Linked DNA regions of Callithrix jacchus. The protein of the gene in region 1 purifies or fractionates together with the protein of each later gene. This does not show direct contact. Links are inferred from orthologs where the notes say so. Each region holds a gene or a part of one and is shown on either strand. Other genes may lie near its edges. The genes, in order: RARA and KLF5.

Region 1 (4,255 bases):
TGCTCCCCAAAACACAGGGATTTCAATAGCCACCCCCAGATACCATGGGGGAAAAAACGCTTAAAAATGGGAGAAGATCTAGGCTTCTATAAAGACAGAAGCCTGGAGGCAAGAATAGGCCATGCCTGCTAGGCTGGGCATGTGCTGCCCCCAAGCTGAGTCAGAGGCTAGGAGGAAGAAGCTGAGGTGCTACAGTGCCAGAGGCTACTGTGCCCCCACACCATCCCACCTGGGATTCCTGACACCTCCCAACCCTAGGGGAAGGCCCTCCCCACACAGGAGGAAGGAAACCAGCTAAGCGACTCTCTGGAGCCCTGCAGGGGAGCCCTGCACCACAGGCAGGCGGGAAACCCAGGAGTCCTGGCACCCAGCCCAGAGAGAGTGAAATACCTTGAAGGGGAGGAAACAGCCCAGATTGAGGCAGACATGTGGCACCCCCAGAAGCTCCCAGATGTGATCCATAAGGAAGTACTGACCAAAGGGGCTAGATGAGGCAAAATGAACACATTTCTGAACAAGAAGAGAAAAGAAAGTGGGGCTATAGGAATGAGGTGGCGAGGGTGAGGGCCGCCTGGCTCATCGCTGTCCTTTCCTCCTTATCAGAGTCAGAGATACTGACATTAAGGCCATCAAATATCAACGAGGTCCTCAAGACCTTGGTGTGTTTCCTCCTCCCCTAGTCTCCAGACCCCAGCCTGTTCATTCCTGAGCTTCCTCTGGCACCCCTTCCTTGGGGCAAAGCCAAGTAAGAAATCAGCAGGCCCAAGGTGGTGCTTGGGAGGCCGGGGCAGTGCCAGGGGCAGTCCTCATACCATCCTCCCACTGGCTTCCCTCCCGCCTGCTCTTAGCCGCCACACATATCTCAGCTGTCGAATCCGATTAGGGCTCCTGCCCAGTGAGCCGGACAAGGAGGCCACTGGGCAGGGGAGAGAGAGACAAGGACGCCAAGCAGGGATGGCAGAAGGAAGGTGGAGACATGGCTCAGGGGAGAAAGTATGGGGCCCCAGAGGAAGAAATGCCTGGTGGAGAGATCTGTACTCTCTGACCACAGGTGCTCTGGCAACAGCTACAACCTGCAGGGGAATTCTGCAGTACCCGGGGCAATAGCCCTGCCTGGTTCCTCCATCTCCCAGATGGGTAAAGGATGAGGGAAGAAAACTGAAGGCAGAGAGATTGACCTAGATTTAGGAAGAGGATTCCATCCTAGATCCCCCCAGCCATTACTACCATTTGGACTGAGCTTTACAATACATTATCTGTGGGGTCTTGGTGGCAGACCTGCTTGCTGATAGCCATTTTTACAAATGAAGAAACTGAGACTTAGCACAGGGGAAGACCTACATAAACACACATAGTTAAATAACCAGGCTAAGTCTCCATTCAGGCCTCTGATTCCCAGTCCACTGCTCACACTCAGAATCTCTACTTTCCTTCTTGGATCAAGACCAGAACAAAGTGTGAAGCCACTCCATTATCTACCCTGTCCTCCAAAACCAACCCTTAGGGGACCCGGGGAGCCATGGAAGAATGCAGAGTACACCCCACACCTAGACACAGCTACCAGACAGGGACATGCAACCCACCCCTACCACACACTGAGAACTAGAGGAGTTCTCTCAGTGTGACCAGTCTGTTCTATCACCCCCTCCCCAGTCTACTACCCCCAGAAGCAAGATATACACTCACACACGGTAACTCAGACAGTGTACACCCTTCCTATAAACCCACCAAACCAGAATGGCATGCCCTAGATCATCATCAGAGAGCAGGGCCTGTCTGCCCACCACAGGAGAAAATACGCCACTGTAAACAGTAGGTGCCATCTAGCCCTCTCTGAGAGCATGTGGGGGCAGGGGGCAAAAGCTCGGGGACCTTATAGCTCTAGAGAAACACCAGGAGCCTGAGACTGAAAGCAAAGGAGCTCAGGGAGCTGGCAAGGCTGGGTGACCTCCTCAATCTGGTCCACACCCCCTTCCCTAGCCATCTGGACTGAGCCTGTTCTAGCCTGGCCACACTCTGGTATCCCTCCCTTTCAATGCCTGCAGCCACCTCTATCCAAAGCTTCTAGATCTTACAACCACATTGTCAACACACGCACACAGGGGTCGGGGGTGGGGGGGAGGGGGGAGCGCTTCTGCAGAAGGTGTTGAGATGTTGACAGGGATGGGGGCTCTAAGCTGAAAGAAGTTTCCCAGAGGAAAAGGTCACCAAAATGCTCACAACCTCCACTAGCTTCCTGCAAAGCCCTTGGCCACCCAGGTGTGCAATGAACCTGGAAAGGGACATTAGTTCCCCTACAAGGTGAGTAGGGATTGGGGACAACGTCCTGAGCTCTTTGGGCTAGGAAGCAAGAAAGAAATCCCTCAGGAAAGCTCAGGTCCCTCTCTGGCTCTGTCCTCTCTGTTACCCCAGCACTTGCCAATTCTCCAGTCTAGGTGAGGTGGGGGAAGGGGTTTTAGGCAATACTGCAAAGGAGGGTGCAAGGGCGTGGGCCTGGGCAGACCTTCCCCCTACTCCCCACTCTTAGCTAGGAAACGAGGACTGCCTCAGGAGAAATGCGGGAAAGGAGCTGGAGGGTGCAGTGGGCTCTGAGCTTTCAGACACCCTACTGTTCCGAGACTCCCACCTCGCAGGACTACAGTGAGTGACAGGAGAGGAGGGATGGGGAAAGCCAGAACTGACGAGAGGGAAACGGCTAGATCGGAAGCAGAGGCCAGTCAAAGGCGGCCAAGGAAGAATTGGGAAGGGGTGTGCATGGTCCTACCTGGTCAGGTGTGTGCTGGCAGGGGGGCGATGGGGTTCCCAGGAGAACCGGGAAAGCCCTCTCAGCTCGATTCAGGATTCCCCCCTGCTTCTGGGTTAGGCTGCTGCAAGAGGCACGGGTTCCCGTTGGGTCCTAAAGCCCACTCGCCAAACAGAAGACTCTCCCCGCCCAATTACACCAGCCCTGACTGGGTCAGCCGGTGCAGAGTGGAGGACTGATGGGGGAGAAATAACGCACTGGAACAAAGATGGGGGTCTGATCACCGGCTGGGGACGGGAACAGTTCCCAGTATCAAATACACAGCATATGGATAACGAGGATAGGATGACATAAAACAGGAGAAAATAGACATTTCTTCCTGGCTGCCCTGAGCAGATGGACTTAGGTTTTGGTGCTAGAGGTGGGGTTAAGAACTCTTTTCCTGCCACTCCCGCTGAGGCATTTAGCTAGAAATTTGGAGAAGGGAGCATTCCTTTTAGTTGGATGCTCACTTCTGTCCTCTTCCTTGTGGACTGCAGGAGTCTCTTCATCCCTCCCAATTATTCTCAAGTGCCTAGGAGGCAGGCCATCCAGGGGGAAAAAAAACAGATTTTCAGCCTGTAAAAAGTGCAGGCTAACTTAGATGGCAGCTGGAAACAGGTAGGACCAATTTGTGTGTATCTGGGTGTGTGGGGTCTGCAAATATACTTATATAGGCAAAAGTAAAAGCAGGTGCGGTTAGAGAAGAAGAAAAAACAAAAAAGGACCTTGGGCTACATCTATTACTGGAGATGATAATTGTCAGTGGAAGAACAGGATGCAGAACCTAGAGGTCAACTAGGGCCCCTACCCAGCCCTCAATAAGGTCCGAATCTTTATGACCAAAATAAACAAGTTAAAGAGAGAATATTTTCCTATGTACCATTCTGGATAAATATAGGGGCACAGGGACCTCAAAACAATAGATCAACTTCAAGGTCACTGTTTCAGTTTAGTATAGCCAATCTTCTCAATAGCTCAAAGGGAGAATTCAGGTTTGGCGGGCTAGATGAGCAAGAGAAAGGTGGATAAGAATTCTGAAGTTGTGGATTGGGAACATTTTGCAAGGAGAGTTGCACATATCTCTAGCAGCAGATCAGGGAGAATGTCATAAGGGCCAGAGGAAGTCAGGGACAGACTTGAAAGAAGAGGGCATGGCCTCTCCCTAGAAGAGAGGACACCAGCAATGCCTCCACACCTCTTTTTGTCTTCCAGAAAGAACTCAGAAAAGGAGCTGGGAAGTTAGGATGGAAGGCCCCAGGGTGGAGTCCATGGGGTGAGTTTAGGTCAAGCCTTTCACCCTAATGTGCCTCAGTTCTCTCCCAGCTGTTAAACAGGGCTCTTCGTTCTTCCCAGGCAGTTAATGAGTGTTTACAAAAGGGTTTGGAGATCCTCAGATCTCAGCTGGGCCACCACTAGTTATAAAGTTCAGTAAGAGCTGAGTGTTATTTGGGGAGAGGAGTAGGGGAGAAG
Region 2 (4,575 bases), on another chromosome or scaffold:
GTTTCTAAGCTAATTAATTACATGATAAATTTGATATTAGAGAAAAGCAGGGCAGCTTTTTAAATATAAATGTAGACAGCATGGGGCTGCTTGGTTAGAGAAGAACTTGCAAAAGCACTCATTAAATAATACTTTGGTAACATGAAAGTAGTCATCAGCCAGTCCCTGAAAGCAGCGATCACAGCTATAAAAATGAATCAGGTATCAACAGGAAGAGAAGGAAAAGGAGAAAAACCTAGTTTACAGCAAAATTTTATAATTTTTTAAAATAAATACACTTCTTTATGTGCATGTTAATTTTCTACTCATTGAAAATGAGATCCATACCTTTGACAGATACACTCTTTGAAGTGAATGTTTTTTCAAATACTTTTGTTTTTTCAACAAGCTGTTTTACTCTGAAGTGATGAGTCGGCTGTTGTATATGTAAAACTGTCTAATGGTATACTGTGCTGTCAACATCTGTACATTTGTAGTAATATTACAGGCATTTTTATTGCAGTTTATTGTTCCGGACTCCCAATAAGCCAGATAAAATCATGTACAAGAACATTAAGGATTAAGGGAAGTGGTTTCCTTAGGTGATTGCTGGCAAAAATTCACCCTCCCATTATAACAACATAGTAAATGGATGGTAATATATTTGGCTATTACTTTCCAACAAATTTGGATTCCTAGTTTTCAGAGCTGCTCTGTGTCTATGTTTGTGGCTTTTTGGTTGTCTCTTCGCAGGAAAAGGTGCCACAATATGAAGTAAATGTGCGAGGTTTCTGTTTTGTAAATATTAAAGTCCATTTTTTGAACATACAGTGCTAGTAAAAATAAGTCAAAGATGTAATGTCTATTTAAATACACATTTGAGCTAGTCATGCTTAAATTAGATTCCATGCTTCGGCTAGAATCAACATAATTAAATATTAGAAACTTCAAAATTCATATGGCCCAAGCTCTCCTCTCCACACACAGATAGAAGGTAGCAATGTGTGGGGAAAACGTCTAGCAATTAAAATCCTAAAAGAAGGGGGAAAACGCAGGCTTTTATGCAAGGACTTGAAAAAACGCTTGCCATCGAATCTTTTATTCAGGCATTCTGAATTTGCTTTGTTAAATGGATACACTCACTGCTAAAGATACAGAGAGACAAGAGCTGTTTTAAATTTGTTTATCACACCGCCCCTAGTTTTCTGCTAAAGAGAAGTACATTTTGGATATTTAAAAGTACACACTCATCAGACAAGTCTCTAAAAGCCTCAGCGCCCCCACCTAGCTGCCTTCTGGGTTTCAGCTTTTGAGTTTCAGGTCCTTGCACAACACCTAAGACGTGCAATACTCTTTCTCCCTAATCCTGGCAGAGAACAGTGCGAAGAGATCTCCCTCCGCGTCTCCACCCAAATTCCCCCTCTTCCCAGATTCCACCCGCTCCGCTACTTCCCTCCGCCCCCGGCTCCGCCAGCCCAATCTGTCAGAGAAGTTGTGTACAAACTGCGCGGCGGCCCTGCGCGCGAAGCTCGTGGCCGGAGAGGGGTGCGGTCGGGCCGGTGGAGGCGGGGCCCCGGCTGCCTCTCTCCCTTTCATAGGCTGGTCGCTTCTGCCTGGCCGGCCTCGGAGCCTCAGGATTCGTGGCGGCACTGCCAATCAGGCGAGCGGGCCCCGCCCTCCTGGAGTTGGGTGAAATAGAGGCGGGCGTCAAGTGTCAGTAGTCGCGGGGCAGGTACGCACGCTTGTAGCTCTGTAGGCGGTGGCGGGAGCGGGCTCCGGAGAGCTTGAGAGCGCGGTGGGGCGGGGCGGGAGAAAGTGACCGCCCGGAGGACGTTGGGGTTTACGTGTGGCAGCGGAAGAGTTTTGCTTTTGGTGCGCGCCTTCGAAAACTGCCTGCCGCTGACTGAGGGGTCCGCCCGAAACCTCCCCTCCTCCGCCCGCAGTCCAGCGCCGAGCTCGCTGGCCTGAGCCAGCGTGGGCGAGGTGGGAAGTGCGCCCGACCCGCGCCCGGAGCCGCGCCCCCGAGTGCCCATGGCTACGCGGGTGCTGAGCATGAGCGCCCGCCTGGGACCCGTGCCCCAGCCGCCGGCGCCACAGGACGAGCCCGTGTTCGCGCAGCTCAAGCCAGTGCTGGGCGCCGCGAACCCGGCCCGCGACGCGGCGCTCTTCCCCGGCGAGGAGCTGAAGCACCCACACCACCGCCCGCCGGCGCAGCCCGCGCCCCCACAGGCCCCACAGCCGGCCCAGCAGCCCGCAGCCGGTCCGCGGCTGCCTCCCGAGGAGCTGGTCCAGGTAGGAAGAGCCGCTCCCCTCCCAGCGCTGCACTCCCGGGCTCGGGCGTGTCCCGCCGCTGCGACGGGCAGGCGACAGGGGCCGCTCCAAGCTGGGGCGTGCGTCGGGGCGCACCGGAGCCGGTGCTGGGGAGGCAGACACCCCCCACCCCCCCCCCCCGCCTGGCCGGGGCCCCGCGTTTCGCGGAGATTAAATGGGAGTCCGGGCCAGGGAGAATATGCCCCGGCGGGTCGTCCTGGGAGAGATCAAAGGGAGGAGAACTGGGTGCTCACGCGCACCTTAGTTGTTTTTCTTATACTTGAGGGATGAAACCTTGTACCTTACGCTCAGTTTTACTTAAATTACGCCTTCGACTTTACCGCTCTCCAATGCCAAGGAATTGGAGCACCCCCCCACACACACCCCCATCGTCTCGGGTTAAGTAGAAACGCAAATTGGGGTGCTGTGGAGAGGTTCCCCAAGGTTTCATACCCTGTGGCTAAACCTGCTTTTAGAAGAGATTGCGGGCCGCGTTTGGAAAATGAGGGGGAAATGAGGGGAAAGCTAAGGTGTTGGAGCGCTTATTTTTCCTTAAAAAAAATACCGGGGAGTTGTTTTCTTCGTGTGCGCGTAAATTTCCTCCCGGGGCCGCGTTGAAAGCTGGCAGTTGGCTTTTACACTTGCCTAGCAGCCGAATTAGAGCCACCGCCTGTTTCTTTCGCCCACGCAGGGAGTCATATAGCCCAGAAAAAACTTCCCAGGACTTTTAGCCTGTCCCAAGGAAAAAAAAATTGGAAACATACCCACATGCAAACAGCTGGAAGAGCTAAAATCAGAAACCACTAACCGCCGCGGGAGCGCAGTGCACGAAAGGGTTTAGTTCAGTTTATTTCAAGACACTTCATTTAGTAGCCCTTTGGCGTATCGTGTATTTGCTACCCAGCGCCTACTCAGTGGGGTCTGCCAGGGTCCTGCTGTGAGGGGGCAGTGGCGTTCGTCAGAGATGTGACTCACATGATGAGAGCGTTAATTTTTATTTTTAAATGGTGTCTATCCGGGAAACCCCGTCCGTATCCACACCAAGGTCCGAGATTAAACGCTCTTGAAATGAAGTAGTAACAGAAAATGACTGTCTTATTTACCGATTAAGGTGCCACAGCTAATAGTTCTTCTATGCGCCGTTCCATCTAGTTGGTTTTCGTATCTTTTGAAATTTCCTTTTCAGTGTTAAAAAATGTAAGTTTAAGTTATACTAGGAGAGAAGATAGCTGGAAAAGGGTTGAGATGACTTGTTACAAGCTGCTTCATAGCCTAGAAAAGAGATCTCTGTTTGAAAAGTATTTGGTTATTTCTGTTTGTGTCAATTTTCTGCTCTGGAGGCACTAAGAAGATAAGGGATGACTGAGCTTTTTACAGAGTAGGGGGGAATGTAGCGTTGGCCCACTGAGGAGGACATGATAAATGTTTTGCTGATGACTGTGCTAGGGATACAGCAGCCTCCCCACCCACTAGCAGCACTCTACCAAGGGAGTGATTTTCCCCTAGGTAATTAAAGATCTGTTTTAGATAGGGATATGAATAGGAACATTTCATTGTCATATTAACCAATTACAGGATCTGCTGATTAAAATCAACATTTAGATCAAATACTGAATGTGAAATTGTTTTGTCTCAGTGGATACAAGGTTTTGCTTAGAATATTGTATTTAATTTCCCATTGAACTGTAAACAAGAAAAGACTGAAATAGCCAAATAATTTTTTTTTAGTATTTGATACTTTGGAAGTATCTAGCCAAGCAAAGAAACCTTTGCAATAATTTAAAGATTTGCACTTTCTCTTTTTTAAGAAAAACTTTTTAATGTTTATGACTTAAACAGAATTGAAGCAGTTTGGCAACGTTTCAATACTGTACTGTACTCTAATTGCAAACTTAACTGTGTAATGGGGCAGGGAATCCTGCTTGTACAGGGGTGATACCTTGTTATTGCATCAGAAAGGAATGTTTTCAGTTTGCTTTCTTTTTTTTCTTGATTTGCGTCTTTCACTTCTGAGGTGATTGAGGGAGCAGTTTTACCAGTTACACAGAGTTTCATAAGGTTTTGGTCAACCAATTATATTACATAATTGATTAAATAAGCCTGATATGTTTTTAAGCAACACGGAGAAGTTTGCCCTAATACCTCACACAGGGATTGGGAGAATTTTAATAGGCGCCGATTGTCCTTCCTGAGACTGTGCATCAGGTGGATTATGCATGTTTGTATCTCTTCTCTTTTTTAGACAAGATGTGAAATGGAGAAGTATCTGACACCTCAGCTTCCTCC

Evidence for each region.
Region 2: the proteins of RARA (region 1) and KLF5 purify together in Homo sapiens (affinity purification with western blotting; 4 studies listed by BioGRID). This does not show direct contact. The link is inferred for Callithrix jacchus from reciprocal best matches to the Homo sapiens genes RARA and KLF5.

What each region holds. Positions count from the first base shown.
Region 1 is NC_133506.1:92,950,973-92,955,227, forward strand, and holds the start of RARA (retinoic acid receptor alpha), read right to left. Parts: upstream 2,872-4,255; 5' UTR 2,765-2,871; intron 1-2,764. UniProt on the Homo sapiens protein: Receptor for retinoic acid. Retinoic acid receptors bind as heterodimers to their target response elements in response to their ligands, all-trans or 9-cis retinoic acid, and regulate gene expression in various biological processes.
Region 2 is NC_133502.1:42,208,357-42,212,931, reverse strand, and holds the start of KLF5 (Krueppel-like factor 5), read left to right. Parts: upstream 1-1,698; 5' UTR 1,699-2,010; coding exon 2,011-2,271; intron 2,272-4,531; coding exon 4,532-4,575. UniProt on the Homo sapiens protein: Transcription factor that binds to GC box promoter elements. Activates the transcription of these genes.